Arabidopsis thaliana: one gene and its partners. The protein of the gene in region 3 interacts with the protein of the main gene of each other region in a pairwise test. Each region holds a gene or a part of one and is shown on either strand. Other genes may lie near its edges.

Region 1 (11,909 bases), on a different chromosome or scaffold from region 3:
AGATGAAGAAATTGCTCTTATGGTTCTGAAAACTTCTAATATGTCGAGTTGTTCTGAGTTTTAAGATTTTCCAAAATGTCTTTGTCTTTTTTTTTATATCTTTAGAGTTACTTGAACATTGTGACTACTTCTAGGGTTGGGTTTGTGTCAGGTCTGTTATATCGTGTGGTGGGTCTGTCTAATACTGATTCAAGTTTTTGTTATTCAGCTAAGGAACTTTTCTTGTTTCTGAACAAATCTTTTGGTTCCCTAGAGTAAAACTTGACTTCCAAAAGATAGACTTCCTAAGATCACTGGAATAGATAGGAGTGACAACTTGACGTGAAAGGTAGCTTGGCTATAGTAATTTTAGATCTGACAAAACGAGATCAAGAAGTTAATAATTTTCACAACACCAATTTGTTATCGCTTAAAGGTTGATTGATTTGTTCAATAGGGGGAATCATATTCTCGCATGCTCGAAAAGGGGAGAGAAGATGGAATGAACATAACTTTAAATCGGATGTTTGATTCAACAACAAAACTAAACTCAGATAGAGATTATGAAGGATTCCGGAATCTGAATTACAAAAGCAAAATTTAAAGCTGAAAACTCCTCCATGGTCTTACTGTCACCTAAAGACATTTCTTTTTCAAGGCAAACCTGAACCAGATGGTGCAGCTGCGCTGTAGCCACCAGCACCACGGCCAAAACCACGGCCACTTCCCTGATAAACAAGAAAGGATGTTAGAACAATGGCAACCAAACAAAGAGAAGGCGGGTAAATCAAATCACAAGGCAATTATATAACTATAGACTTTGAAACACTTCACAGCTAAAGTAAAAGATTTATGTTCCTTGTAACTAAAGTGATAAAGAGAGACTAAATATGTTCATGGTTTCTCAGGTTCAGGAGCTCTATGATAAAGACTTCAAGAGTAGCACATTATATGACGTTGGTGAGATAGAGAAGTAAATAGAAGGTATGGTCAGTGAGAATTTACTTGGAAAGATGGCTGGTAATCTGCGGGAGCTCCACCCTTTTCACCTCCAAACTCACCACCAGCTCGAGGACCTGCACGGTACCCATCACGGTCACCAAACCTGGGACGGTCTCCTCCTTCATGGCGAGGTCCTCTGAAATACAAAGAAACCCAAACCATGTCAAACAAATTAAAAAAAAAAAAAGTTTTTGCCAGACATGAAATGGGTTAAGCAAAGAGTTAATCACCTTGAGCGATCACCAGGTGGGCCACCAAATGGACGACCACCAGGCTTAGCTGACTTCTTCAAAGTAGCAGGAACAACATCAGATGGAAGATTAAGATAAGTTCTCAAGAACTCGATCCCTTCATTGGTCAAAAACCAATAGTAATGCATCCAGGCAAATGTCTCCCTAACATACTCCTTGGATTTGAAACTCTGCATAAGCTTAATCACTTGTAGGTTGGGGACATCGATCAACGGATGCTTAGCAAGATTGAAATCCTTCTTCGCAAAGCAAACTCCTTCTGCAAAAATCATAGAACATATGATAATCAACACAATGTTCACCTTCTAAGCCAAACATCATAATTGCTACCATAACTAGTTAACCTAAACTAGTTCAAAAATCACAATGTTCATCGGCATAAGCCTAAAAATGAATCAATTTACTCACAGAAGCTGAAGAAAACAGAGATCTAAGAACAAATTTAAGAAGAACGAACCTTTGAAGAGGTACTTGCAGATTTCTTTGCGGTTAGCCTCTGAGATAATCTGAGAGCAAGAAGGAAGAAGAAAATGGTCAAAATTCAACGAAACAACATTCTGAGACACCGGAGAATATGATGAGAATAGAGAAATAGATCAAAAGCAGAGCTTGTGTGTTACCATTGTATCGGTAGGAGATCTTGCTCGAGCAGAGAGTCGCACGGAACTTCGAGAGAGCAAAAAACTAGGGTTTTCGCAGGACTAGAGAAGACGATGACTTTATATGCTTTGTTTTGGGCCTATAATGAGTTCATTAAATATGGGCCTTAAGTTTGGGCAGTATCGGAGACTGAGAAACTCAAAATGATCTTGTCGAATTGAATTAAGAATTGGGGGTTTATCAAATTATTTGATGATAACTATATTTAATATTTTATTAACCAATACTTACACTCGTTGTATTTATATTTACGATGGTTTATCCTCTCTTTTTTGAAAAGTTTATATCTTGTAAATTTTGTGACATACGTTTAAATATTATTTACTATAACTTTGATTTTTTTTTTTTTTTTACTATAACTTTGATTACTTTATATATTTTTATCAGATTAGTTAATTCTATAAATTAACATATATTTTTATTAATTACATATATTATCTTGTTAAAATAATTTCCAGTTTAATTAATTTATTTGCTCCATATTGTAACAAAAAAATCTTTGAGAGATAAATGTATTTTTGTGTTGTTTCAACAAAAAAAAAAAGAAGATAAATCTATTTTTGTGTCAAAAATTTGTTATGAGAAATTGTGACATATGTCGAAAGAGATTGTGAAATTGAGAGATAAATGTACTTTTATAGATTATTTAACAAAAAAAATCAATTTTCAGTAATATATATAGAGGTTGATGAGCAAGCGAGTTTGTAATCACATTCTTGTCCATCATCTTCTCTTCTCCTTCCAAACTTTTGAGTTTTTCAAAAAATGGTTAGTTATTTTTCTTAGTAAACCTATTTATGTGGTTATATAATAAATTCACTAAAGCTTTAGTTTTATTTCATTGTTTGTAGTCGATGACGATTGTATTCAAGCATCCAGGATATCCCGAAAAAAAATGGCGAAAAGGATTCAAAATTGCAGGTGGTTTTCCAGGTACAAACCTACACACACCCAACAATTATATTCAACAAACGAATTTTGAACAATGTGAATGATTGTCATCTTTTTATTATTATATTAGGAGTTGATGTCATAAGTTGTGGTATCATGGACGACGTATTTGCAGTGAAGGGAGAAAATATTGATCAAGATAAGTTACTGGAGAAAATAAAAAAGGTTTTAAAATCTGTCGAAATCATTGATCACACCAAATACCCTCCGGATTATTTTTTCTATGATTTCTAATAATGATGTTTATTTTTCTTTGGGCAAATAATGATGTTCATTTATGTTTTCATATTCTATCAAAGTAATTGGATTTGGTGTAAGTCTTAAGATATATTAGTCCATTCTTATAAGTTGTAAGTTATAAACTTTTTGTTCAAGAAGATTGATTTTCCTTGGATGCATAGTCGAGAGTATGCCACTAAAAATAGCTTAACCATATTGGTCTACACTGTCACCTTATTTCTTCCTCTATAAACGAATTAAAACGAAAGCATACAACGCTATTATGAGATTTGATTTGGTCTCCCATCAAAGAGACAGATACATACTTTAACAAAAGCTCAAAACAAATTTGAGAGAGGGAATGGTATATGATTACAATTCTTGTTTAAAATATGATTAATAACTTCTTCTAGAAAATGTTTTATATGCAAACCAGTCAAACCATCATTTGATTTACATCTATTTAGAAATGTATTTATCTATTTCATCACTAAGAATGTGTTTTATCACCACCTCCAAAATGTGTTTACAAACAAATGAAGCCAACTACAAATTATTGATCTTGAAATCTGTCGAAATCATTGATCACACTGAATACCCTGCAAATTATTTTTTTTATGATCTCTAATAATGATGTTTATTTTTATTTTTTACTTTTATTTTTCTGAGGCAAGTAATGATGTTTATTTATGTTTTCATATTCTATAAAAAAAATAATTGGATTTGGTGTAAGTCTTAAGATATGATCAAATTAAAATATATATTAGTCCATTCTTTATAAGTTATAACCTTTTGATCAAGAAGATTTGATATTCCTTGGATGCATCTTTTCTTATAGTCGAGAGTATGCCACTAAAAATAGTTTATCCATATTGTTATACAAATGGTCACAGTCACCTTATTTCTTCCTCTATAAACGAATGAAAACGAAAGCAAAGACAACTCTATTAAGAGATTTTGGTCTCCCATCAAAGAGACTGATACATATGTTTAAACTTGAGATCTAACTTATGATAATACACTGTACATATACCATCCTTAACCCAACAGACTATTTATAACAGTAACAACAACTAAACCGAGTAACATCAGCTTCATCTTCTTCCTATGTACAAACAAAAAACCACAACAGAATCTCTGTATTTTGTAGCCATCTGGTTGTTGGCTGGCTCACCTGAGACACTTTTCACAGTTCTCCTCTTCTATTAAACATTAAGTAGAGATTTCAGGTGGGTCTTTGTTTAAGGTTTTATTCACTCCACCATGATCAGTTGCTGTCTCAGATCCGATATCATAAGACGAAAGAAGCCGTCTCTATTGTTTTTGAAATCAATAAGAGTCTTGAGGTTAGTTCTGGTATAGGGTTTCGAGTTAAAATTGACTAGTAGTTTGTGGAGTAAAATACTTACATGATCCTCAAAGTCAGGACTAGACAAGTTGATGGATAGATTTCTCATCAATAGTAACACCTGTTTGGTGGGGGCAAACAAAGGAAAAAAATGATTAGTTTAACCATTTGTTCCATTGGACCGACGTGGTTTCAATTAAGATTGATGTAAAAGTGAAAACTGAAAAGACAAGAAACGTACTGTTTCAACATCTATGGGGTCCATCTTCTTCAGCTTTTGTAGATGATTACTTGCATATGGGTCAAACACACTTCCAATGAAGCCGTATACTTGGGCAAAGTCCGGTAAAACTGAAAAAAAAAAAGGCGGAACTGTCTAGTAAGAAATGGTAAATATGGTACAAACAAAAAGATTAACAGGAGACGATGTAACGATGCTTACCTCTTAATGAATGGCCAACATTTCCATGGTCTCTTGCGTCCCTGTTGGATCGTGGTCTTGGAGTATTTTCAGAACTACTAGAACAATTGTTATTAGCTCCTGCTCCTGCTGTTTCCATCAACGTGGAACAACAATATGCTTCATTTAGTAAAATTTGAAACAGAGATTATATTAAGAGAGTAACAGTAATTGCATAATGCTTGTAAATGAGAATAGAACCTTTTGGGAGGGGAGTGAAGCTAATTGTTTGCGCATTATTTGTCCATGGAGCCGCAGCAGCAGTGGTTGGCGAAGTCATCAGCATTGAAGAAGACTCAGGCCTAAACATAAAACTTGGGTCATTTGGTTCAGATGTTGACTTGAATGACCCTGGTACTTGCAGTTGCACTGCACATTGCCATAAACAGTGCATCAATATAGTTTTCAGTAAGCAAACAACAATACAACTTCAAAGTTTTTAAAGCAGTAGCTATAACGTACCATTCTTGTGAGCCTTCTGAGGATATGGATGAGCGGCTTTCCTTTTAGGTCGAGGAGGAGGGAGATGTTCACCGGTCCCACTCTTTTGTACCTTAAGAAAATACTTCTGAGCATGACTTCGTATCTGCAGTATTAAAGGAGTCCGTATAAGAAGCCATAAAAGAGCTCAACGAGCTCACTTGTCTAATGCAAAAATAACTACATATAACACTTCATTAAGTGGTGATAAGCGACAAACGCATGTGACATTCTTTCTCCTAGTAGTAGTAGTTCAAAACAGTTACAGACAATAAAGATGTTTTAACAGAACACTTTGTGGAGATATCAAATGAGAGAAAACAACCTCAATCCAAAGTAACACTGAGGGCCCAAGAGAAAGATGACAGAATCAAACAACTAGAGTAGGCGAAAAACAGAGTAACTCAGAAGATATATCTACTTTTTACTGTACCTGAATCACTGTCTTTGAACCAATAAAAGCTTCAATCTTCTTCCAGTCTCTATCAAACCTAAAATAATCAAAACACAAACATAAGAGATATCAGATCCACCACCAAACAACCTGGATATAGCATGTGTCTAATCCTTGCCTAAGATTGTACGCATCACAATACACAGAAGAATAAGCAATGAACAGTACAATCATCATCGCCTCCCCTAGAACCTACCCCAAGGACTTTCCCACTACATACCAACCTTAGTACTACAATTACTCACTTACCAGTGTTTATAGACACTATTGTAACCAAAAAAAAAAAAAACGCAGCTCTAATAGTTTTCACTAAATCCTCTTTTTACTAAGATACATATAGTTTGCGTCGCTATTTCCTCATAATCTCAGCTCAATTTCTTGCCTGTTTCGTTCTTCACTATCAATGATCATACAGGTCTTAGAAGAACATTTAGCTCATCCAATTTCAATAGCTACTACACAAATTCAATACAGTCTATACTCATTTTTCGACATCCTGATCTTCTCAATTCTTATCAGACGCCTAATTCAACAAAATGTGCATACATAGCCAAATCCATCTGCCTAAATCCAACTCTCGATTCCAATTCTATGTCCCAAATCCAATCTAATTCCACTGGTTCAACACAGTACAATTCAGAAACCTACTGAAACATAAAGTTGCACATTATCCTAATCGAAACTCCACGCATATTCACATGATTCTATAAAGTCCACCACAAACCCTAATCAACCAAAATTGATGCTAATTCTTCCCAAATCAAATCTCCAAATAGCCATTAACGAGAAATGGTAAAGCACAAAATGAACAAAACTCACAATTGAAGAGCTTCAAGGAATTTATCATGCTCAGGCTCCGTCCAGCTCTCTCTAGACTTAGTAATAGTATAAGGCTTCCTAATCTTCTTACTCAAATCCTCCTCCGAAGAAGAAACCATCGCCGTCACATCCGCCACAGCCACGGCCGTAGAAGAAGTCGTTGGTGAAGAAGAAGAAGAAACGGCGGCTGTAAAGGAAGGTCCGAGACCAGGAACAGTCATACCGGTCGGATCCAAGAAATATCCGTCAGAATTTCTAGAGACCATGAATAGAATTTGAGGAGATTTTTGTTGAATCTTTTGCTTTTTTGCTCTGTTGGGTTTAAAAAGCTGTGTTGTGTAGGAGAGAAAGAGAGAAGAAATGTGGCTTATGAGAAAGAAGAAGACGGCAGAGATTTTATTAAAATATTAATAAATTTATAAGCTATAGTTTTTTTGTGTATATGTTGTGTTTCTCGATGAAAGAAACTTATTCTTGTGATCGTTTTTGAGGTCGGCAAAATAGTTCTTGTGACCTAATATAACGTGCCACGTATTTGGATCTTTATAATAAAGATTTTTCCATTTATGTTTTGTATCCGTTTATACCAAAAAAGGGTCTTTTCTTTTTGGTTGAATTTAGGATTGTTTTGTAGTTTAGGTAAAGGTTTTCTAATTGTCCAAATTTTATGTTTTGTGGAGCCTTTTTAGCTAATGGGCAACTTGCCCGTCAAAAAAAAAAAAACTAATGGGCAAATGGGTTATATATTTAGCCCATTATGAAACATCGATATGTCAAAAAAAAACTTGGTGATGCCACTGTTTTTGTCTTAATGTTTAGCCCAATCAACAAGACAACAATGCTTTTTTTCTTGGCATCCTTCGATTAGAACGATTGATTTGTGAATGAGAATTTAAATGGATGGTTTACATTGGTTTATAAATTTCTTTAACAAATGAACATATTTTAACCTCGCAAATAAAGGAAGAAATGCAAAAATGTGGCATGTTAAAGAAAGAGATCAACCTTCACTATATCTTTTAGGTTTCTAATTGGTTTCGATGTGAGAACATCTTTGTTGGATTGTTGGTAATGCCACGTTCTTAATATTGTTTATACTAATGTTTTGGCGTTGGAGTCTGTTACGTAACTGAATTAATGACATTGGCTAAAGCGCAGTACCAAAAGTTATAGTATAGATTTGTATAACTATACTGAAAATTTCCTAAATTATGGCGTTTACTAATACTGTAACGCTTCGTATGAGCCCAAGTAAATGACGATAATGTCGTGTGGTTTGGGAGTTGTGTGGTTCCTCATGCTTTCACACATTTTTATTAAGGAATGTATAATTTTATTAAAAATCTGAAGCTGAAATTTACGTATCAACAACATCTCTATTTATTAATACAAAGAACATTTGTAAACATGATAGCAGCCGTAGATAATATGATTTAAATGATTAAATTAGGGGATACAAACTTATTGTGAAAAAGAAAAAAAGGCGATACAAACTTATCCCAATTTTATTCATATTTTCATTAAACGAAACGAAATAGAAAACTTATATTGTTATTATTATATAGGGTTGATTTAATCGCTCTTATTATCTTATATCGACGAGATGATAAAAGACAAAAGATCTTACATATGCATAATTATGAGTTATGACACGGTATTAGTTGAAGCTACTAAAGTACTAAACAAAAGAGGCGCAACAACACATTCTAACAATCTATTATATAGAAAGACTCAAACCTGTTTTATTAATCATCTTCATTTAAGCGTATCAAATTGACTATTTCAGTTTCTTGCTTGGATGGCTTGACTTAACCATTTCATATTCGCTAATTCAAGCAAAGGATATCGTGTATATATATGGGGCGAAACAAAGGTTAATGAGCAAGCTACGAGGTTGATTTCATATTCCTTTACATCATATCTCCTCAATCATCAAACTTTCTATACTTTCCGAAAATGCCGGTATGTCTTTTCTTTTAGTTACTTAAAATCTTAGAAAACTAAAGGTACTACTTATACACAATGAACTGTCTAAAGCTTCAAATCTAAATCTTTGCAGGAGAAAGTTGTATTCAAGTTGGAAGTTTTTGAGGAAAGAATCAAACGAAGAGCTATGAAAGTTGTATGTGACTTTCCAGGTATATTATAATATGTACAAACAATGTCTATATATAATATAAGTAATTGAATCTATTTAGGCTTAATACAAATTAAGCAATAATGTTTGTTGTTGTAGGAGTTACTTTGATAGACGTGAAGGAAAAAGGTAAACTAAAGGTGAATGGAGAATTTGATAAGTTTGAAATGACGAAGAAACTTAAGAAGGTGTATGAATTTGTTGACATTATCGCGGTTGGGCCGGATGGAGAACCGGCACAAAATCAGAAGCTGGTTAAAAAGCCTGAACCTAAAGTGAAGAAAGCACCATCTTACCGTGGTTGGAATTTGGGTTTCTTTAAGTGATCAATTTGAAGACGTGATCGGTTTATTTTCCATGGACTACTGTATTCTGATGATATTTCATCTCATTTTTTCTGAAAAAATTGTTTGCCCGTTATTTGTAATAATTATGTGGCTCTTATATTCATATTGGCGTTATATGTCTTTTGTTAACATTATTAAGTTCTGATCATCCAATTGAAAACAACAAAAACAAAATTTTCATCTAAATTGTCTAAGTTAAGTAATAGAGTCTCATTGTTGTGTCCAAAAAAAAAGAAGAAGTAAAAGAGTCTCATTGATCGCTTTTCATAAGCAACACTTAATTCTTATCACCAGCAACTAGATGCTCAAACTAATGCTGGCCGAAGTGTCAGAAAAGATAGTCAACGTTTGATAGATTATTGTTATCATTCAACTTCGTTCCACACTTATTCCAAGTAATTCGTTTATATTATATCGTCAATAATCGTGTTATTATATCACAAGTGTTTCTTTATAATAGGTATTTATGTTTTTTGGCACATGCAATAAAATTCATTAAGCCCTGTAATTCTGTCGGTTTTCTTAAATAATAAAAATAAAGTTTAGAAGATTAGTTAAAGCTATATACTAACCTTTCTGTTACATTTGGATCATCATAACTTATATACTTTTTCATCATATTCATCAGCGTTAATTGTTAGTAAATTCATGGAAATCCATAGAGAATGATTGTGAGTTTGTGATTCACCAAAGATCTCCATCAATTAGTACTTCAAAAAAACTCGTCTTAAATAGATTTAAAACCATTGCATTGACGAATATCTGAATAATAAAAACGATGAAATTGTACATGTATTGGGAAATAGTTTGTTAATCAATACATGGGGTATCAAGAAATTCATAAAGATTTAGGAACAATATTTATGAAATTTCTTTGATTTCCTTTTGCACCTCCCATAAATGTTTTCCTTTATACAATATGTTTTATGCATAGGATATTGTATTTCCTAGCTTCGAAGAAATTGTAAGGCTCTTTCGTATATTCTTTACGTCTTGAGTGTACTAGTTGTTCTAAATTATACTACAGAATTAACGAAAAACAAAATATCGTATATTTGACTATAACACGGTATTAGTTGAAGCCACTAAAGTAAGAGACCATGCCAACTTCCATTCTATTATTTAGAAAAACCTTTTTTTGATAATATTCATTTAGAAAGACTTAACTTGAAAAAAAAAAAAAAAAAAAAAAAAAAAGACTTAACTTGTTTCACTTTCTACCTTTCTTATTATACAAAGAGACTCAAAACTGTTTGTATTGGTCTTGATGTATAAAATTGACTATAGTTCTTATGGTTGGACCTAATTAATCATTACTATATTGAGCACTAGTTACAAACAAAACATTGTATAAATAAACGGGGAAGCAAAGGGTTACTAGTGTGCAATCTGTGTGGTTACAATCATATAACTTCACTGTCCAATCTTTTAAACATTCCAAATATGCAGGTTCGTTTTTTTTTTTTTTTCAGTTTCTAAGATTAGTTTTAACTTTTAAGCAACTAAAATTCAATGGTTCTAAAATAGTTTTTGATTATTATACAATGAACTGTTAATATGCAGGTGGAGACAGTTGAATTCAAGATGGATGTTTCTGATGAAAACATCAAACGGGAAGTTATGAAAATTGTCTGGATGCCAGGTACACCAACACAAATCTATGGTTGTAGTATTAATGAAACCAAATAAATCAATAAGTAATCTATCTAAGCTTGAAAGCAATAATATTTGTTGTTGTTAGGAGTTACTTTCGTAGACATCAAGGAAAAAGGTATATTAAAGGTGAAGGGAAAATATGATAAGATTCAAATGGGGAGCAAACTTCATGAGCTAGATAACTCTGTTGACATTATCAACCAAATGGGAAAAACGGGGCAATATCGCATTCCGAGTTTAACTTCAGTCTACAGTTATTTTACCACTCCAAATATACAGGTTCGTTTAATCGTTTAGAACAAATTTTTCAGATTCCCTTATTTTTGAGCAATTAAATTTCAAATGGTTCATAGTATATTTTAATAAAATTATTACTTGTATCATGACCTGCTATTTTGCAGGAGGTAGTTGTATTCAAGTTTAAAGTTCTTGATGAAAAAATGAAACTTGATGCTATGGAAGTTATTTGGGAGTTTTCAGGTACACCAAAACAAACCTATAGTATTATTAATTATGGCTGGTTATTCTGTTATACATAATTTTTCATCTATTTAGTCTTTAAAACAAAGCACTATTGTTTTTTTGGTTGTTAGGAATTACTTCAGTAGAGGTGAAGAGAGATAATCAACTAGAGGTGAAGGGAGGAGAATTTAATAAAATCGCAATGTCGACGAAGCTAAAGGAAATAGATGAATCTGTTAGCGTTATCATCAAGTCTGGACCAGATGGACAAGTTGATGTGACAAATATTAAGATCAACAATGCGAGAAAAACTTCACGTGTCCCTGCTCCTGTACCTGTTCGTGCGCCTGCCCCTACGCCTAAACCTGCCCCTGCGCCTCCTTCTGTTCCTGCGTCTGTGGCTGCTTATGCGAACATGCGTCTTTATGTGCATAAAACACCAATTTGGAAAAAGTGCTTTCGAGCAATTTCCTGTGGACTTTATCGTTGAAATCGGTCACTGGAATGACTGGATAAAGGAGTCAATTAATTTGTTGTAATGAACATTATAAGATATCCTATTTACAATTGAAAATCGAAGTTAAATTGAATGAGATATGAATGTACAAAATGGCTAGATTGAAAAACTTTTAAAACTTAGTAAATTTAATTTGAATAGTTCTGAAATTTGTCAAAAGTCACACA
Region 2 (11,135 bases), about 12 Mb from region 3:
AGTGGATTATAACGCAATGGTTGGTCCCGAAGATGCAATTATGTCCCTAAAACAGGGATTATGAGGAAGAAAAGTTTATACTAATACAAAATCAAATTGTTCTCTATCATGGAGTGATCACTTTATTTGTGTTTAATTTTGTCGCTTTATCTATCTGCAATAATTTTATTGAAATGAAAGTCCAAAAAACATATACTTGTTTTCTGCACTAACATTCCCTATGGAATCTCTCTAGAAGCACACAAGAAAATAGAGAGGATACATATAATAATGACATAAGGAAGTGATTATCTTTGCAATAAAAAAGAAGAAGATGTAAATTTTTATTCATTTGGTACCATTGTAAGCAATGTTTTAAGATTCCTTCTGTTTCATGTTAAGTGATAATTATAAATTTCTATGCAATTTTTTTTTACTCATTATATTTTGCATTCTGTTTTTTTATTGGTTGAATTTATTTTACTTAGCTATGTTTTACATAAAGAAAAATACTAGACAAAAAATTGATATGTTTTCTTAATTTGTATGTAAAAATCTTAAATTTCACTTAAAAAAATGACACAGAAAAGATATACAACAGATGTAGCAAACCAAATTAGTTAGTAGTCGATATAAATGAATTTAGTTTGAGGATCGACAAAGTCCACCACTTCAGTCAATTACCAAAACAGAAACCGGATAAATGATAAATCGATGTTAGTAACCAATAATCGAAGAAACGAGAGCCACTATAAAAAAAGATACTCCTATTTTCTAGAGGATGCTAAAGAAATAAAAAAGAAAAGACACGTGACAGATGGAGCGTACATGTGTCGAACTGGGACCACTTTCGGGTTGCTTCTCATGCGCCACCTTCTCTCGGATTCCCATTACAGCCGCCATTGCCACTTCTCTCTTTCCCGGCCTTCTAAAAGCAACAAGCGCACGTGTTAAATGTTCACACGTGTCCTTATCTTTTCTCGTAGATATCTAAATTATTATCTAAAATTAACAATCTGTTCTCAACAATCAACATACAACAATCAACGTCAATATATAATATAGTTATCAAAGCCAAAATCAATGATTCTATAATCCAACAAAGCAAAGATATTCGTGTGTGAAAGGCCAGTATTCCATTTACAAAATTGTAATGCCAATTCATTCCTTTTTTCACTCCAATTCAATTACTATTGTTCTGCTTTTTTCTTATAAAGAGAATATTGAAAAGATAAGTTTAGAATAAAAATCGACCATGCATTGTTTGATATTTTTGGATTGTTTCCATTTAGTCTATAGACGTGTTCGATGATTAATTTAATATATTCTAACAAATAAAACAATTAATACTTTGATTATAAAATAGGGTTCGGGTGAATCTGTGATCCTCCTTACTCGACGTAGTGGAAAAAAACACTGAGAAATAATTTATTTAAAAGTTTAACTAGAGTAACTTATTTGGGTTCGTCCCCTCTGGACGTATATAATCTCGATAAAGTGTTACATGAGTTGGAGTAACTAATAGTATCTTAATCATGATTAGGAATTGGAGACATCATTCACGTCCTTTTCTTTTAGTTAAACTATTAATGATTATACAAACTAAATTAATATGTGATTTTAAATGAAACTAACGATATTATTGGTTAGCCAAACAAGAAAATATAGGCCCTACAAACTAGAAATTTCCAAAACAATAATAGCACCACAAACTACATAACCGATTTAGAGAATTCAACATGTATGTAACTAAAGTTTTTTTTTTATTTTTAAAAAATGATATTTGAGACGACGAAATTTTACTTGCATATTTTTAAGAGTTGATACCATCTTTAAGTGCTCTAAGCAATATGTCTCATTGTCTCGAGCATGCAAGATTTCATGAACACTTCAACTCTGAGTTTAGATGAGAGGGCCAAATCCAAATTAATAATTTATTTAGAGTAAAATAATTATTTGATGTTCACTTCATATACACATCATGCATCAATCTCTATTTCAACCCATTAGTTAAATAAGTATGTAATGAATTTCTTTGGGATATGTTATCAAATACTCATAATGTTTTTAATAATGCGGTGATATTATAAAACTTAATTGATGATCATATATGGTAGATTATAAGTGATCGTATGGGAGTTATTAAATGAACCAGGAACCACATAAACTTTTTGCTAAACTCATGTTGTTGTTTTTCTCTTCTTTGCTCTTATAGTCTTATCTAAATCATGCTTCTGTGTAACAATATATATGTTTTTGATATTATTAATTAAGCAGTTTTTTTTTTGTTTTGTAAAATCATACATCACAATAAAATTAAACCAATAAAAAAATGGAAAAAAACCCGGAAAACCTTTAATTTTGTTTTGAATGATTAGTTTATGTTTATTATACATTACATTCATTAATAAACCCATGAAATGCCTACTGTATGAGCCACTTGTTGAGCTCGTCAAAACTACACAAAGTTTCAAACGTATCTCCGCCGTTGAACCAATAACCACCATTTGTCATATGATCCAACGTTCCAAATTCCACCTGATCACCACCGTAGAAACTCGATCTCACAGCCTCAGACGACGACGTTGATGACGTGGCGGTGGCGACGCTGGAGTTCTCAGGCGAGTAGTGGTTAGAGGTAAATTGGACACTTTGAGTGGCGGCGATTCTCTCGATGAGACGAGGCATCCAGAGATGTTTGATGGTGTCTTTGAATTGCTTGCTGTTCACGTCACATTTTAGAAGTTTTGCATGCTTTTGAACACGTGTTCTCCAATAATTCTTTATCTCGTTATCTGTTCTTCCCGGTAAATGTTGAGCAATCTTTGACCACCTTCACAATAGAAAAAATATCAAAACTAACTCCATTATTAAAAACACGATTAATTTTATAGAACATCGTAATTAAACTCTCATTCCGTTTTTTATTAGAATCATTTATACATACAAAAAATATATTAAATTTCTAATATACTTTTTGTACGTATATTAATTGTTTTTGTTAAAACCGACTCTTGCTAAAAATATTATTTATAATGAATCGGAGGGTTTAATTATTTATAAGTTCTATTGTAGTACTAGATTAATCAGTTTTTTTAGTGTTACTCTGATAAAAAAAGACGTTGATGTGTACCTTAATTTCAACTATGATACAAGTTTCATATAGTAACCACAATTCAACCAAGAAATTTCAAATACGCATCAAATTGATTTTGTCAATTATCTACTAATACAATATTGAATAACGAGTTATTTATTTCATAGAGACGTTCCAAATTTGCTCTCTTCAACGATATGTGTCCCTTTTTCTATTTTAAGTAATGTATCGACAATATGACTATGTCTATGTCGATATAAATAAAGGTTTCATACCGATTTCCCCAACGAGAATGGAGTTCAAGGATGATAAATTGTTCTTGAAGGGATATGTCTCCACGGCGGATATCCGGCCGGAGATAATTTAGCCACCGCAATCTGCAACTTTTCCCCGTTCTATTCAGTCCTGTCTCAATAGTAAATGATTTCAATATAAATACAATTAGTATAAAAACATGAATTAACTGGAATGTACACTAGTCAATAGTATATGGACACTAGTACAATTTCCCAAATCAATAAAGATAACAATTCCATGAGGCTGTATGGAATTGGATGGTTGGGAAAGGTGTTTGAGTTCCACACTCAAAAGGCTAATATGAAAAGAACTCCAAAGGAAAAAATAAATAAATTTGGACCGACCAAACTGTTTCATACGAAAGTACACTTTTAATGATAATAATGAACTATGAATATGTCAACTTGTTCTTTCTTACTTTACCAATTCTACAGAGGAATTTAAATTATGCCGACATGGAGAAGTCACAGCCATAAGAAAAGTATTCTCATAGTTACGAAAAATCACATTCATATATGTATATCACTCACATATGATGTGATAGAAATTGAATAACATATTGATAAGATGTGGACGAGTTTTTATATCTACTCCATTTAATTTCAGTTAGTTATAAATAAACTCTAAACTAAACTTCACATGATCATATTAAAATCCACAAAATCCAAAACGAATTTCTAATAAGAAAAAAAAAAGTTTCAGTCTAAATGTTTAAAAAACAAAAACGGACTACTTGTTTGACATATAAAGAATCCTTCAATACCAAACTTTAACCATTCAAATCAATGATAGTTTAACAATCACTCTAGAGATATGATATGGGCATATAAGGATTTGTTATGATGACTTCAATTGATCTGAATCGATCGATTTACGCATTACATATTATATATCATGCATGATCACATATTCTGTATATATATATGCAAAAGGCTTAAGAAGTTACCAGCAGAACGAGAGAGGGAGTTCCATCTTCCTTCACCGTGAAGAGAAATGTAACTGACGAGCTTCATGTCTTCTTCCACAGTCCATGGACCTCTCCTTATTTCTATTTCCATCTTTTTCTCGACTTCTTCGACTTCTTCTTTATGATTTATAAGGGTTTTACAGTTTGCGAATTCTGTTCTACTTATATTCATGCTTTGAGATTCTTAGAAACTTGTGAGAAGATTGCTCTGAGAAAGATTTTAATTAATGAGGGAGAGAGTTCTCGGAATGGACATAAAGTGATCGAGTTTTCAGGGTGGGTTTTATAGATTTTTTTTTGTTTTGTTTTGTATATATTATAAATAAATACCAAGCATTTGAAATCGGCATGTTAATAGATAAATTATTACCCGAAGATATTAGTGGAATTTTCGCAAAATAATAATTTCTAAGTAATAGTATAAGAGTTCTTAGTTTCTCCTTAAGCACATGCTATAGTTAAGAGTTGGATAAGCTATCAAGTAAGTAAAAGTAACCGAAGAAGTAATTTAAATTAACATCATTTATTTATCGATATAATTTAGTTGATGCAACAAACCCTTTTTTCTGTAGTATATAATTTTGTTTAGTTTTGATTCAGGTTTCCTTTTATTAAACCAAACTAGAATTTAACCCTCAATATAACACGGGACAATTTTGTTTTCACATAATCTTAACTAAATTAGTGTAATTCTACATATTTAATATTAGTGATGTTAATCAAATAATAAAATGAGAATTTCACCGTATTATAATGTCGGTTAATGATACTTTTAATTTTTTTAATGTCGATTTAAACTCATTTTTCATATACCCAGTCTCAAAATATAACATGTACTGCGTTATTTTAGACTTTTATATATATTCATTTTATTTTAAACTTTATACTGAGTTTAAATATATCAATTATAATATTTCAAAACTTTCAAAGCTTAAAATTTACTATATCCAGTAAAATTAAACAGTTCAATTAAAAACAGAATTAAACCATATACAAACTTTTAAATTTAGATACTTGTTAAGTTAAACTTCTTGTTTATTTAGATTTAGATTTATTTATAACATGACTCTTAATCATTTTCTAAACATTTTAGCCCATGTGAAATTGAGACGTTGAACACACTTTTTTATTATTTAAGTAATATATATGTCTAATTCTAAAATTTTGAATCAGAATATAGGTAGAAAATAGTTTATTATTAACTTTATATGATGATTCAAAACAAATAGAAAACAAAATCAAACAAAGATGATTGCGAATCATTATTTTAATTCTTAACACAATCTTTTAATATGTATTACTAATTTTGGAACATTATATGTATATTTCAAATTTTATAGTTAATGTTAAAAACAATCAATTGATTTGGTTATACGGATAATAAAAATTAATAGTAAAGTTATTTGAATACATGAATATAAGTAATGACATTCTCTGTTAATATTTATCAAAATAAAGGTGTTTTTTAAAGTATACTTCAAAAATAATACTCCCCCTATTCTTTATTAATTGATTTTTAGAGAAACAAAATTGTTTCAAAAAGATTGATTTTTTAGGTTTCTATGCACTATTTATTAGTTATTATTGATGAATTTTAAACTTCAAGACAAATAATTGAATATCATTAGTTTAGAATTATTAAAAAATTAAATCACAAAAATTAAATCAATATGTTTACTTAATCTGTGATTGTTTCTAGAAAATCAATAAAAAGGGACAAAAGGAGTAATTTTTAGTCATGATTTCAATTTGATGCAATTTTGGTTTAATTTATTTTGACTTACGGTTTAGATTCGGTTTGGTTTTGATAAAAAAAGTTAGAACATATATAAATACAGATTGATGAAAGAAACTAGTTAAATTTTTTGAAGTTACTAACTTTTTTGGGTTTTCTTTAGTTTCGGAACTCTTGGTTACTTTTTTTTAATGGTTTTAGCTATAAATTTTAGTTTTTTTAATTAGAAATAGAAAAGGATTACAAAACAAAAAAAAGACTCAAGAGAATGTAACAATATAAAAATGCTTTGATAGCATGAAAGCAAGATGCAGCGAACCTCAAAACTCTAAATCGAGTAAAGCTTAACCTAACCCATGTCTCTAACCATAAACTCATTAAAGCCGAATCAGAGTTCTACAAAATGTAAAATCTCGATGAAACTAGTTTTAGATCAAACCATTTTTGCCAAACTTTACACTAGGTCAAAAGTTTTCCAAAAAAAAAAAACAAAAAAAGTTTTAACACCATTATACGTAGTTAAAAAAAAAAGAGAAAACAAAATTGCATTACCTATGATTGATATGTTATTAGTGGAGTATTTGCCATGGTTTTATCGTTTTTGATAGTTTTCTTTGCCATACCTTTTGCCATGTTATACAGTTTTGACAAAATAATGAAAAGGAAATTTGTTTTTTTTTTCTTTAATCCATAAAACAATATATCGATTTATAATATTTTATTATGTTTAGGTAATATTTTAGAAATAACCAAAACTATGGCCGACAGATTTTCATATTAGAAATCTTCTTTTAAAATTGTGGACTAGATATAACACTTGACAAATCGTCTTTACATGTGTCTTCATCGGTTATCGCTGCTGAGACTCTTAACATTTAAGGTGACATTGTCCTTTGTTGCCAAAGCTTTGAGGGCGGCATCAAAATTGGTAAGTGCAATAATAGAAAGTTCTGAATATTCGGTATAATTTTTTATGAATGAGGATCAGTCGTGCTTTTAACGAGTGATTTGAATTGCATGCTTATGTTTAAGAAATTTCGTGACGCATAGTTGATCAAAAACTTTGTTACACCAAGAAGATTAAGTTTTTTAGTTTTAGGAGTCGACTTAAAGAACATAAAACAGAATGAAGAATTATTACTAACCTTACTTTCTGAAATTTTATAGTAAAAGCATTACTAACAGAACCAATAAATAATTGTTTTTACATAACAACCAAATTTATTTTATGATTTTAATATGAAGATTATGTTTCTTGTTACATGAGAATTGTTGTGAGATTTATATGGACCACATTTAACCATATCTACACTTGAAAGTAAATATCAACATATTGATTTTTGGTCAAACTTGTTTAATTATGTACTATAGTAAGGTAATTTCTTTTTTGACAATAAGGTGATTATTTTTCCATGGTCGTTAAATCAATAACAACATAATTATGTTGCCAAAAAAAAAGAAACATCAACTGCATTACAATGTCAAAGCATTTTATTTTGTTTCTATTTAATCTAGAGCAATAATGTCGGATCATTTAATATATATCTTTTAATTAGCACTTTATATATATATATTTAAATAGATATCCAGTTTTGTAATGTAATAAATAAATTTTTAACACCCAAATCTAGGAGTGTCAAAATGGGTCAAAATTCATGGGTCAACTCAACTCAACTCAACCCATGAACCTTAATGAGTTGAAAATTTTTGACTCAAATGAGTTGATGGGTCAAATGAGTTATCGGGTCAATTGGTTTGATGAGTAAATGAGTTGGATTGTAATGGTTAATGGTTTCAATGATTTACCTAATTAACCCATCAAAATTTGTAAAATTGAATTAAACCAACTAAAATCTCTAAACCAATGCTAATTTAAGTTTAACCAACACATCTAAACCAATCTAATAAAATTAATATTTTTCCAAATTTCTTAAATATACAAGCGATGAATTGAGAAAAAGTAAACTCGTAATTTTTCCACCAACAAACATAAACCCGTGATTTTCCCGCCAAAAACGTAAATCCGTGATTTTTCTGAAAAAAACGTAAACCCGTGATTTTCACGCCAAAAACGAAACCCCATGATTTTCCCACCAAAAACAAAAACCCGTGATTTTCCCGCCAAAAACGTAAGCCCGTGATTTTCCCGCCAAAAACGAAAAACATGTAATTTTCCCGCCAAAAACGAATACCCGTGATTTTCCCGCCAAAAACGTAAACCCGTGATTTTCCTGCCAAAAACGAAAAACATGTAATTTTCCCGCCAAAAACGAAAACCCGTGATTTTGCCGCCAAAAACGAAAACCCGTGATTTTCCCGCCAAAAACGAAAATCCGTGATTTTCCCGCCAAAAACGTAAACCCGTTATTTTCCCGCCAAAAACGAAAACCCGTGATTTTCCCGCCAAAAACGAAAACCCGTGATTTTCCCGCCAAAAACGTAAACCCGTGATTTTTCCACCAAAAACGTAAACTTGTAATTTTTTCGCCAAAAACGTAAACCCGTGATTTTCCCGCCAACAATGTAATCCGTAATTTTCCCGCCAAAAACGTAAATCCGTAAACGGTAGAATCTGTAAATATTTTAAGTTTGATAATAATGAATTAATAATTATTAATAATGATAATTATTTATTATTGTTTTATAATAATAATTAATTAAATTATTATTTAATTGGGTTAACCCATTTAACAATTTCACCCATTAAATTAAATGAGTTATGGGTTGATCCAACCCATTTAACAAAATGAGTTGGGTCAACCCATAACTCATTTAACCCTAAACTCATTTGATTATGAGTTGAGTTGAGTTGGGTTACCCATTTTGACACTCCTACCCAAACCCAAAGTTTTTTAAATTTGCAGGTGTTGGAATGATGTGGCGATGAAGAAGCATGGTAGGTGGAGTTTGTATATGGGTGACGATGGTGGAAGTGATGAGAACATCAAACTCAAATAAGAATCGATCGCTCTCGATAAGACTGTTGCTACAATCGAAAGATAGAACACAGAGAACCAAGCTATGAACGGAGGAGACTAAAAAAGTTTAAAGTTGAGAGAATTTAAACACATCAAATACCAATATAGTTCCTCATGAGACCTTAACGACCAGTTTCAACCCGTAAGATTTGGTGCGGTTTGTTTTGGAAAAAATGCCTAATATATATCTTGGAAAAATCATGTTGTTTTATTGGAGACGTAGTTATAAGGTTTTTTGATGGCTTTTAGACCCAACAAATACGTGGATGAAAGCTAAAAATGCAACTAGTATAGGGGGAATTATGCAGCAACCCAAATGAAACCGTTTTTTTTTTAACGATATGGTGGTTACGTCAATGTCATTATGCTATATATAGAGAGTCAATAACATTGTGTTCATGTAATGCAAGCTGCAAAACAAACCGCTAATCAAATATCCAATTAACATCAAAATTCAGCAATCATTTTAGTATGCACTATTTAATTTAATTTTAGATTATTATATCACGACAGAACGATAAAACATATTTTAGGTCTGTAGTTGGTAATATATTATTGGTTTCCAATCTCTACTAATACTTTGGTAATATATCAGAAATGGATAAAAGAATTCCACATACATTCTCAAGAAAATCTATCTTCATAATGAGTTTTGGATCAGGTTTGAAGACATCTTTCAGATCCAAAGTTTTGCAATCATTTGCATTTTGCCGAGCAGCTGTAATCTCAATATTTAAATAATCAGGATTATTGACCTTTAAATCTTTTAGGGCCTCATCAAAAGAGTAAAGAGCCTTGTCGTAATACTTTGAGCATGAGATGTAAGATTCTTTGGTACGGTTATCAGTCGTGCTATTAGCAAGTAATTGTAACTGATTATGTGTATCTAAGGCATTTTGTTGAGCATAATGAATCAAACATTTGGCAACGCCAGGAAGATCAAGTTTTCCAATTTTAGGATCTAACTTGAAAAACTTGTAGCAAAATAAAGGATTTGATGTTGGAGATGAGCAAATAGTATGGACTTCACTTTGTGTAACTGCGAGGCTTAATTGTATAACTGTAAATAAAACAAGAAGAACAAACACTTTTAGAAGAGAAAAAGAAAGGTTGTCTTTTGGGTATCTAACCATTTTATATATCTTTAGTTTCAAGAAGAGAATCCCAAATGATGGAATTCTTGTGTGAGAGATAGAGTTATATAGGTTCAATTAGTAGATTTATAGAATTTTTTCTTCTCAATATAAGATGATGCAAATTAATAAGATTATGTCAAATATTTTTTTTATATTGTTCTATTTTTGGCTAATCTATATGGTAGTTAATTTTAAAAATTAAAGATGTCATTTAAAGTCTGCATATATTTTTATAAAAAATAAGTTATATGCAAAGTAATGGGATTATTGTTGGTTTGGGCCTTTTGTGAGCTCTTTTTTAATCTTCACACCTTATAAAATTGGGCATTCTTGGAAAGTACAAATAAAGCTTTTACTCATACTTTGGACTCAATCTTTGAAAAGAGTATTTCTTTCCGTCTTTACAAAATTTGGCATTTCCGGAGAGGGACAAATGATGTTTTTACCCTTGCTTTCCCTTACTGCTGAAAACTCCATCATCATTGTCGTCTTATGCTCGCTTCTCACTACCGTGCTCGCTTTTTTAGCACCATCTCCATCAATTCTATCAACGCTGTCATTTTCAATTCTATCAATACCACCTCTTTCGCCTTCAATTCCAAACATCTCTACCACCAAGATAATGTATAGTGAACTTAATGACTCCAATTTTAGATATTGATCAAATCAATTAAAAATATAATTTTTTTTCTCAAAAGACATAACCCAAACTAAAATTTTAGATGTTACTGTTACAAAGCAAAACAAAATATTTCGAATTTATTTTCAAATCTAAAATAAATTTGAAATTTACATGTTTGTTATTGGCAAATTCTCAAGAAATTTTAGATATTTACATTGATCAAAACATCTCTGCCACCGATATAACGTATAGTGAACTTAACGACTCCAATTCTAGACATTGGTCAAATCAACTAAAATTTATATTTTTCCTCAAAAGAAATAA
Region 3 (10,119 bases):
TAAAGCAGCTATGTTTATCTTTCATCAGCATGACTTATATCATGTGTCTTTGCTTTTCAGTATGATCTGTTTTTCTTGCTGCTGACATTTTTTTTTCTCTTACAGCAAAGAAGTCCAAGGATGATAAGCCGAAAAAGAAACATACGGAAAGCGACCACAAGCTAGTGAGCTCTAACTTACCCTTTGAAATAGTTACCCATAAAAACATCTATTTGTATATTCACTTAAAAAGTCAAAAGTATATTGCTTTGGAGACTTTGTATGTGTGGTTCTTCGCTGGTCTCTTCAGTTGTTTAGTCATGGTTTAATTACAAAAGTCTTGTTGCCCTATTGTAATGTTTGACGGATTGTCATCCACACTGAGGTTCTGATTAAAATGCTTTTCTTTTCCGTTTTTTCTTCCAGAAAGAGGGAATTCCAGAGCTATCAATGGAAGACTACTTCTCGAAAAACAACGAGTTTGCTACATGGCTGAAAGAAGAAAAACGTACTTACTTTAATGATCTCACGACCGAAGCTGCACGAGGACTGTTCTCACGATTTGTCAAGAGATGGAACAGAGGAAAACTCGAGTCTCGATACTACGAGGGAATCTCCACTGCCCCACGAACAGCTCACGACTGGATGATCAAGCGTAGGTGAAAAAAAGCAAAAGCAATACCTTCCTCTTCTGTGGTTCGCCGGTTACCTCTCTTCTTGCTTCTTGTACACGTGAAGGTTGATTGCATCAGAGATATATTTCTATGTAGTTTCTCTACTTAGAACTTCTTGTTGCTGAACTAGTTAGATAGATTGTCGTGGAGAGATATGTAGTCGGTTTTCAGAGTAAGACAAACTTTACATATCCAAGGTCTTAACCAAAGTTGCCGAAGAACTATCTGATGAATCCTTATGTAACATTGAGAATTTGATATCCGGTTAAGGGAGAAATAGACCGTTTTGATTGAAAGTTGGTCTTGTACAGTATGTAAGTTCCTACTGGCATTTACAACACAGCGTATATGTAGCTTTGGCTAAGTAATTTGTGTGCATGAAACTTGGTTATATGAAACTGAATTTTCACAACAGACGTTTAAATGAGTGAAAAAACATATTCTAAATTATTGGGTCACGAGTCTCCTTAACAAATTCCAAAAGTTTTACAAAAGCAAGAACCATCAACTCTGAGAGTATACTGAGATTCAAATCAGGTTGGTTGCACGGTTAAGTGAAAGTTTTACTCGACTTCAGCCAAGTAATCATCGATTTCTGCTGGTGTTAGCACCCTGCATATAACATTCACTTTTCAGATATTGATGGGAATAACAAGATTTTTTGTTTATATTAGTTTTGTAGTCTTGAATGTTTACCTGAAAACTTTGTCAGTACCGATTTTGCCAATCTCGATGTTTTTGCTTGAGATTTCTCCCTCGAAACTGTGAAAAGACACGGAGGTTATAGGCTTTTGAGAAATTCTGAACTCTGGAAATAAAGTAAATTAAGTTTTGGTAAAAATGCTCACCCTTCCTTCAATGTCAATATTGCCGTGTGAATGGCATCATCAAGTTCCATATCTTCTGTGTACCTGATCAAAGACTAAGATGAAATGACATGCTTCCAAGATCATAAACTCATCACCACAAATGGTAAATTATTATCACCTCTTCTCAAGAAACGTCTTTGCATTCGAAACATTCTTTCCCATTGCAGAAGCTTTCCATGAGAAATAAGAGCCAGATGGATCCACCTAGTGGCCAATGAAAATTATGAAATAAGATGTTTTCAGTTTACGGGTTTTACTTCACTTTGAGCAGGATGGTTATATTTTCTTTAAAGTTCTACTTACTTGATACAGTTGTGGACCCTTGTCATCATACCCAGCCACCAGTAGAGAAACTCCAAACGGCCTAACACCACTATTAACAGCAGAAGGAGACAGAGATTAGAAGCAAGATTCAGTAGTCTAGTTTGCAAATACAGATTTGCATTAACAACATTATCTCACGCCAAATCAATATCAAAACTGAGCTAAAAAGTGCATAGAGAGACTCGCTCTAGAGTTGCAATCTCTGAGCCAATAACACTTTTGAACCCTGTTGAGCATATGAGAGGAAGTAATTACATAACACTCGATATAGTACTTACCCCGATTGAGTGAACTCTTGCATCACCGTGGCAGTTTCCCTTACAAGTTGAGTAACGGGGATGGGTTCCTGCAACAATAAACGCCCTTAGAAGTTGAATCAACAGAGCGATCTGGATTTATGAATAAGCAAGAACTTATATCAACTGGAATCATCAATCCAAAGTTTTTATCATACATGTACTACTAGACACTCCAGGAAAAGAAGACAAAAAAACAGAAGATATTAAAGATTACCTTGTACAGACGGAGATATTGCTCAGCCTGCTTCCTACTCTTTCGCACAAGAACTCGGAAATCAGGACCCATACCACTACATAAAAGGCAATACCAAAGTTAGCACTGAAATCATTAGGGTACTAAGGGAAAGGTTCCATCAGTAGCACTAGCACCTGATGAGAGAGACTAAGTACCCAAAACAAAATAAAAAATGTATGATAAATCCAATTTGCAAGCTATAAAACCAAATTCGCTATTAAAAAAGAAGTATGGATAGCTGAAGAGAAGAACCTGTAAACAGTTCCAATGTTGGGAGTCAAATGTTGAATCTTTTGAACCTGAAACAGACAATAGATAAACATTAGTTTCGTAGGAGTTACTGAAACTATGCAACCGAAAGGAAAGTAACACGAGCAGGCACAGAATGAAAAAGAACTAATTGCTATAAAGAGTTGATCAAACTTACAGACGCTTCATCAACCAATATAGAAGGAAGTTTCTTTTCAGTTGCAATGACAACTCCATTTGAAGCTGCATAAAGAAAACAACAGTCATGATTACCAAAGACAATGTTCCTTAAAAATCTCCTCTCGAATTTGATTAGATCATTGAAAAAACCTTTAATTCCAAGTGATGTTTGGCCTGATCCAACAGCTGTTAGGGCATGTTCTATCTGAACCAGCTTCCCTGATGGGCTGTTTCATAAACCACAACATGAATCAAACCCCGAAGAAACCGTTCCAAATGCTCAGAAAGAGATAACATTGATATGATAAACAAAGTTAATACCTGAAGGTGGTGAGAGAAAACGAGTACTGACTGTCCCCCATTGAAAACCAACTAAATCAAGCTGCAAAAAATGCGAAATAGTGTCATCTCTGGAAATTTAGAAACGTGGAAGCTAAATCTGTTCTTCATCAACAATGTTCAAACTTAAATGAAAAGAAACCACGTCTGAGCAAGTAAGTAGACTGAAGCGTTCAAATCTGACAAAGCTTAAAAACCCGGAAGAGTCTCATCGCCATGGGCAATGTGTAAGGAAAACGATGAAAAAGACAAGATATACCAACCCTAATTAAGAATTGTGAGTGAATCAAATCAAACACAAACTCAAACTCAAAGATCAGCTCTTAGCTCAAACTCAGAGACGAAAATTGAAAACTTTTCTTAAACCCCAAATTCAATATATTTAAAGTTATCAATTTAAATTCAACAAAAGAAACCCATTCAATCAAAGCAACATACCTTTGATATATGGATCGAACGGAATGGTCGCAAGAGAAGAGAGAGAGAAGAGACCCAAGTGAAGAATTTTTAAGCTCTCAAGGTTTCTTGCACAAAGGGTGAGAGTCTGACGCCAGAAAACGAGAGAAACAAAAAAACCAAAACGGCGGCGTTTTAACAACTTCACAGTTACTGTATCTTACATAATAGTCCAATATTTTATATCTCTTTTCAGTTTGAACCACATTATTTATTTACTACCCCTAGTCCCCTACTCTCTCTCGCTTCCACGCCCGACTCGGACTCAAACCTGGTCCGAATTGGCTGTGTCTCTCTCCATCGCCTCCTTCTTCTCTGACAAACTCTCCTCCGTTGGTCGGAGTTTGTTTCTTCGCTCGTTCATCACAAGCTTCGTGTACTGGTAATTGTTCCATTTTTTCTAGCTATTTCGGAAAATTGGATGGAAGAAGCATCTGAAATACGCGTGTAAATGTCGCTGATTGTGTCGTTGAGGCAGAGCCATTGTTGATTCTTAGAGAAAATTTGCTCCTTTATTTCTCCAGTTTGTTAAACTCTCGATTACGCCCTTGAAATGCATTCGACCGGGAAGAGAAATTTCTTAGCTGTTATCAGATTATTGTTTACTAGTTCGAGCTTGGTCAGAAAGGCTGGTTGTAGAAATCTCATTTCTGCTACCTTTACCACCAGGTGTTCGACGTTATGCCTGAATGAATCTGAAGAATGCATTGAGGATTCTGATCTATCGTCTAGGAGAAAAAAATTTGATTATGTTGGAGAAGTTGGTGAAAAAGAGAAAGTGAGAGATATTACTAGTAGTCCTTTACAAGTTTTACGAAGATGGGGTTGTGATGATGATGAAATATCCAAGCTTTTTACTCGTAGGCCTGCTTTGCAGAGAGCCAATGTTGCTCAGTTAGAGTTTAAGTTAAGCCTTCTTAAGCCACTGGGAATCACGTCTTCAGACCTTGTGAAGATTCTTAACTGTCGTCCTAGGTTCTTTAGTTGCCGTCTTGTCCTTGATGAAAGGATCAACTACTTCATGGAGATTTTGGGGTCAAAAGAGGTGTTGCGCAGAGTCATTATCCGGAATCCGTCACTCATGTTGTATGACCTCGATGACAAGATCAAACCCGCGATAGAATACTACAAAGGGTTGGGCTTTAGCCAACAGGATCTTGTCGCAATGTTGATATCGCGACCCACGTTGATTCCAAGAACAAACTTTAACAATGAGAAGTTTGAATACATTGAGAAAACTGGAGTCACCAGAGAATCCAAGATGTTTAAATATGTTGCAGTCATCATCGGGGTCTCGAGGATGGAGACAATCGAAGAGAAAGTTAGAAACTTGGAAAAGTTTGGGTTCTCGGAAGAAGAGATTTGGCACCTGTATGGAAAATGCCCAATCCTTCTCTCTCTCTCTGTTGAGAAAGTTCAGAGAAACATGACTTTCGTCATAGCCTCGATGAAACTTCCAGCTCATTCCGTGGTTAAGCACCCTTGTTTGCTTCTCCTCAACCTCGAGTCTCGTCTAAAACCTCGTGCGGATCTCGTTAAGAGAGTCTTGGAAATGCGTCTAAAGCCATTGATAAAAGAAGTGAGCATTTTCAGAGCGGTAAGGATGAGCGAGAAACGGTTCTTGAAGGTTTATGTAATGTGTCATCCACAAGATATTGCAACCGAGCTGATGGAGTTTTACGAGAAATCCAAAAACATGAAACGTTTAGCTGAGAAATCCAAGAAATACATCCGTAAAGGATTCCCCTTTTGAATCTCTTTTTCATCTTTTGTTTCTTTGGATATGTTCATTAAAGATGTAACATTGTGTAGAATTTTCCAGCTTTATCAATGGATACTTTTGAATCGGTTCATGTTTTGGTTTAGATCAGATTAGTTAAACCGGAATAGAAAAATATCAAAACACAAAACGCGAAGAAGCACGTTTGGTGAAACGAAACGCCAAAGACGCCCTAGACGTGTCTCTCTTCCAGACCCGTTCGTGGCGGCAGTGACAAAATCCTCTTTATTGATAAAAACGTTTGCAAAGTTGCAACCTTTTTGGGTTTAGTACTTGAAGAGAATCAATCTGACAGCAAATAGTTTTGGCGTCTTTCTAACTCAACCCATCATCTCTGTTGCATTTTATCGAGAGAATATTTGAGGTGGATATGGCCTCGACCCTTTTCTCCAGAACTTTCTTGGCTGCTAGTCACCGACTGATTACTCCTTCTCTTCCGCAAAAGATCTTTAATCCAGCCACCTTTCTCAGTGTAAGTCGATATCTGATTCGCGATCTGTTCTCAATTAGCCATTCGTTTGACCACTCGTTAGCTTCTGGGTTTGAGAGTGTCTGGATTGATTTCGAGCGTTTGGATTGTTTCTATGATTTGACAGTGGTTCTACTGGGTTTTCGAGCTTTTGAAATGTTGAATAGACTATAGAGAATTGCTTAATTGTTGATGAGGTCTATGTCAATCGATGCTTTTCTTATCAAAGTTTGAAATTGGACTTATGAGTTTTGTAATCATAAATTAGGTAGTGAAGTTTTATGTGAATTGCTCAGTTTCGCCTCTCTGTATATGATTCTGACTTTTTGGTTGGTCTTCCTCTTCTTGTGTTGGTAATTGCTGAAGAGGTCACTCCACTCTCAGTTAGGCTCCGCTTCTACAGCCTATAAATCAACTACTTGGGCTCGTCGAGCTATGGCTTCTACTGGAGTTGAGACAAAAGCCGGTTACTCCACATCATCCGTATCAACCAGTGAACCTGTTGTTTCTGTTGATTGGCTTCATGCTAATCTTAGAGAGCCTGATTTGAAGGTGACTGCCCTTTCTCCTAGTTCACTTCTTGGAGAATATGTCTGCCAAACTTAAACTTACCTGTTTGTATGCTGTTCAGATTTTGGATGCTTCATGGTATATGCCGGATGAGCAGAGAAATCCGATCCAAGAATATCAGGTGAGAGTATGAACAGATAGAATTTTGAGAACTTCTTTGTTTTCACAATTGTTCAGGTTGTATTCATTCTGGATGAGCGAAACCACACTTAGTACACTATTTGATGATACTGTCGGACATAAACTGTGTCCTCTCCTATATAGGTTGCTCATATTCCCCGCGCTCTCTTCTTTGATTTGGATGGAATATCAGATCGAAAAACTAGTGTAAGTATCGCCATCTTTTCTTTTACAGAAGATGTACCCCTGCAGTTTACTTTGAAGTTTTCACTTCACATTGATATCGCTTTTATGCATAAATGAAACCTTATCGATAGATATTATCTTCTTTTGCTGCCATTTTTAAGATAGTATGTAGCTTTTTCTTATGTGAGATAAAGTAATAAGTCTGGACTCTTTAATGTTAGTATATGTTATTATGTGTTTTCATTAAGACATCTCTTTGCCCCGATCTTAAGGGAATCATCTAAAGTATTGTATGATATATTAACTACTTGTAACAGTTGCCACATATGTTGCCCACTGAGGAAGCTTTTGCTGCTGGTTGTTCTGCTCTTGGAATTGATAACAAAGATGAAGTGGTTGTCTATGATGGAAAGGGGATCTTTAGTGCAGCCCGTGTATGGTGGTGAGTTCTGGTTCTTGTTTGTTCTTTTAATCCTTTTACTTTGTCCTGAGTCTTTTTTCGAGTATTGTTATAATTGATATGTGCTTCTTTATTTTCCCCTTAAATAGGATGTTCCGAGTTTTTGGACATGAAAAAGTTTGGGTGCTCGATGGAGGTCTACCAAGATGGCGTGCATCAGGTTATGATGTTGAATCTAGTGCATCAGGTGATGCTATTCTGAAAGCCAGTGCCGCAAGTGAGGCTATAGAGAAAATTTATCAAGGACAAACCGTAAGTCACTAATTTGGATAATAGTTCTCTGGTTCGTATTTCTGTAGATTCATGATGAGTTTTGAGCAGTAAAGATGTGTTTTTTCTTCATATAAATTTTCTCTCTCGTGGTTGCACAGGTCAGTCCGATAACCTTTCAGACTAAGTTCCAGCCACATCTAGTGTGGACACTTGATCAGGTTGGCATTTCCTGAATGGTTTTGTCTTCACATTATTGTTAACTATCATTCTCTGCTTAAGAATCTTTAATTTGGTCTATATTTATACCCGTTTTTCAGAATTGTGATTGTGATATATCAATTTTACTATAGCTCAGTATGTTGGTAGATTGATGTCTGTAGATGCCTGATTTTGAGTTTGCGCTTGTGTTACAATAACTTGTTCAGACTCTTATTTTAGGTCATGACTCTCTTTGGTGAATTCACAGGTCAAGAACAATATGGAGGATCCGACTTATCAACACATAGACGCTCGTTCCAAAGCCAGGTACTATAAATGCCGAGTTATTACTTGTTTTGACTAATGGATTTTTCTCTAGGCTCCTTCACACTAATTTGATACTCAGTGTAGCATTTTGATTATTTTACGGGGTTTTTCACAGGTTTGATGGTACTGCTCCAGAACCCCGTAAGGGAATAAGAAGCGGTCATATACCTGGAAGCAAATGTATCCCTTTTCCTCAGGTAAAAGCCACCCTAAGAGAATTTGCTTCCTTCCCACACTTCCTCTGCATCTAGTCCCCAGAGTTAATGTGATAAATTCCTTCTTTCTGCAGATGTTTGATTCTTGTAACACATTGTTACCAGCAGAGGAGCTGAAGAAACGATTTGACCAAGAAGGTAAACTATTTCATCTCGAAGAATAAGTTTCACAATCTTATTTATATAAAACATTTGTAAGATCTCAAGGCTTTTTGGTGCAGATATCTCACTGGACAAGCCTATTATGGCCTCGTGTGGGACTGGTGTAACAGCTTGCATCTTGGCAATGGTAACTCCATTTATTTTATTTGAGATTATATATAAACGGAGAGAGACTGACTTAGTGACTTGCTCTGTTAGGGGCTTCACCGGCTGGGGAAAACCGACGTGCCGATCTATGATGGGTCGTGGACTGAATGGGCGACACAACCAGACTTGCCCATAGAGAGTGTTGAATCTTCTTCATGAAAGTCTCCACCGTAAAGGCTAGCGACAAGATTACAAGCCACAGACGGAAATAATTATCATGTTTAAGTTGAGGGATTTGTTTGAAGTTAATCATAATCCTGGCTTTAAATTTGCCTCAACCCTCAAGCCGAAGAGGACTGTATCTATAGAACTTGGAACTTTTCCTTTTCGTTTCTGGATTCATCTTCTCAGATAACAAAAGGTTGTTTTCTGTGTTTTCTTTCTAATAAAATCAAGAACCAGGAAATTTCTCAACGATTCTTAAACAGAGATCCTGAAACAATAATAATAAACACTTTTTCTTTAGCAGATGGTTAACGTTCAGATATTGATGTCATTACGAGTGAAGCGAAGCAAAAGGTTACGCGAGAGAGACATAAACTCGTTTCATTACACTATAAATTATTGTATATATATTAAATCAATAGAAGCATATTAAAAACGACCGCGTGGCCTAATGGATAAGGCGCTCGCCTCCGGAGCGGGAGATTGTGGGTTCGAGTCCCACCGTGGTCGTTAATTTTTTTTCACAGCCTTTTGGAAGGATATCTGAGATGTTGTTAAAGCTGGCTGAGATATCTTAAAATCAGAAACACGGATGCGTGGACAAAATCATAAAACTCTTAACTATGTCCTATTCAAGAAAATCCTCAAGTTCCTGCGAGCACAGGTTGATCAGTGGAAGAAACGTAAGTTAAGGGATATGACGACAGTTTCACCATTTGCATATTATAGCACAAGACACTCTCTACCAAACATATAGCAAAATCTCCTTCATTAGGAGGAATATGAGCAAACACCAATACACAAGATAGGATAAAGGTCTGAAATATGCATAAGTAGTAGCACACCATCATTTACCTGCCCCCAAAATCACAAATAGTATAACCTTATGGTTTTCTCTTTCGGAAAATGGACCATCATCTATGAGAACACGACAGCACAAATAGTATAACATTAATGCCAAGCATACTCAACAGGTTATCATCGAGTAGAATTACAACCCTTGTCAATCAATCGGAAGAGGTAAGAGGAAGGAAGGAAAACTACAGATTCAAAATAAAACCCATCAATTTTATTGCCACACTAAATTGTTATTGATACAAACAATACAAGAGCTTATTTAATTCATTAAATCGAAAAGATTTATTGATCAGATTCTCAAGTGTTGCAAGCGATCCTTTACTTCCGCTTCAGCTTTAGCTTTCTTTTTCTTTGCTCGGCGTTTGACTGCAAGTTCCTCAAACCTCTTCATCCCAGTTTTGAACATCATCTTCACCAAAAGCTCAGGTTGGCCTCTCACAAAATACTCATGTCCACATTCTCATTGCTCTGACTCCTTAATTCTTCTAAAGCCCAGTCGTCAACAACAAAAACAAGATGAGAGACGATTCCAAACTCGGAGATATAATCTTTGTATGTATATATATACATACAATAAAACTTACATGTAAGTTGAGTTCGGTCATAAACTCCAAGTAATGTCTGCCAAATTCTATCGATTTCGGC

What was found.
Region 1: the proteins of AT1G79220 (region 3) and AT5G52660 interact in a two-hybrid assay, tested with the Arabidopsis thaliana proteins (one large-scale study listed by BioGRID).
Region 2: the proteins of AT1G79220 (region 3) and MYB112 interact in a two-hybrid assay, tested with the Arabidopsis thaliana proteins (one large-scale study listed by BioGRID).

What each region holds. Positions count from the first base shown.
Region 1 is NC_003076.8:21,355,149-21,367,057, forward strand, and holds AT5G52660 (Homeodomain-like superfamily protein), read right to left. Parts: upstream 7,126-11,909; 5' UTR 6,890-7,125; coding exon 6,624-6,889; intron 5,842-6,623; coding exon 5,784-5,841; intron 5,457-5,783; coding exon 5,333-5,456; intron 5,240-5,332; coding exon 5,072-5,239; intron 4,961-5,071; coding exon 4,853-4,960; intron 4,762-4,852; coding exon 4,652-4,761; intron 4,532-4,651; coding exon 4,472-4,531; intron 4,377-4,471; coding exon 4,275-4,376; 3' UTR 3,853-4,274; downstream 1-3,852. Other genes in the region: AT5G52650 (RNA binding Plectin/S10 domain-containing protein), read right to left, coding at 633-707, 985-1,117, 1,212-1,491, 1,690-1,738, 1,853-1,855; AT5G52655 (uncharacterized protein), read left to right, coding at 2,658-2,660, 2,744-2,825, 2,914-3,077; AT5G52670 (Copper transport protein family), read left to right, coding at 8,580-8,585, 8,683-8,761, 8,860-9,086; AT5G52680 (Copper transport protein family), read left to right, coding at 10,551-10,556, 10,671-10,749, 10,849-11,042, 11,165-11,243, 11,357-11,715. UniProt on the Arabidopsis thaliana protein: Probable transcription factor.
Region 2 is NC_003070.9:17,701,866-17,713,000, forward strand, and holds MYB112 (myb domain protein 112), read right to left. Parts: upstream 4,596-11,135; 5' UTR 4,513-4,595; coding exon 4,320-4,512; intron 3,482-4,319; coding exon 3,352-3,481; intron 2,813-3,351; coding exon 2,404-2,812; 3' UTR 2,267-2,403; downstream 1-2,266. Other genes in the region: AT1G48010 (Plant invertase/pectin methylesterase inhibitor superfamily protein), read right to left, coding at 9,626-10,018, 10,652-10,795.
Region 3 is NC_003070.9:29,795,070-29,805,188, forward strand, and holds AT1G79220 (Mitochondrial transcription termination factor family protein), read left to right. Parts: upstream 1-3,781; 5' UTR 3,782-4,157; coding exon 4,158-5,357; 3' UTR 5,358-5,502; downstream 5,503-10,119. Other genes in the region: SCI1 (splicing regulatory glutamine/lysine-rich-like protein), read left to right, coding at 106-164, 406-642; AT1G79210 (N-terminal nucleophile aminohydrolases (Ntn hydrolases) superfamily protein), read right to left, coding at 1,217-1,265, 1,350-1,415, 1,502-1,564, 1,641-1,726, 1,826-1,895, 2,125-2,192, 2,360-2,435, 2,633-2,679 and 3 more; MST1 (mercaptopyruvate sulfurtransferase 1), read left to right, coding at 5,755-5,856, 6,220-6,405, 6,485-6,544, 6,688-6,750, 7,047-7,171, 7,279-7,441, 7,561-7,620, 7,869-7,927 and 4 more.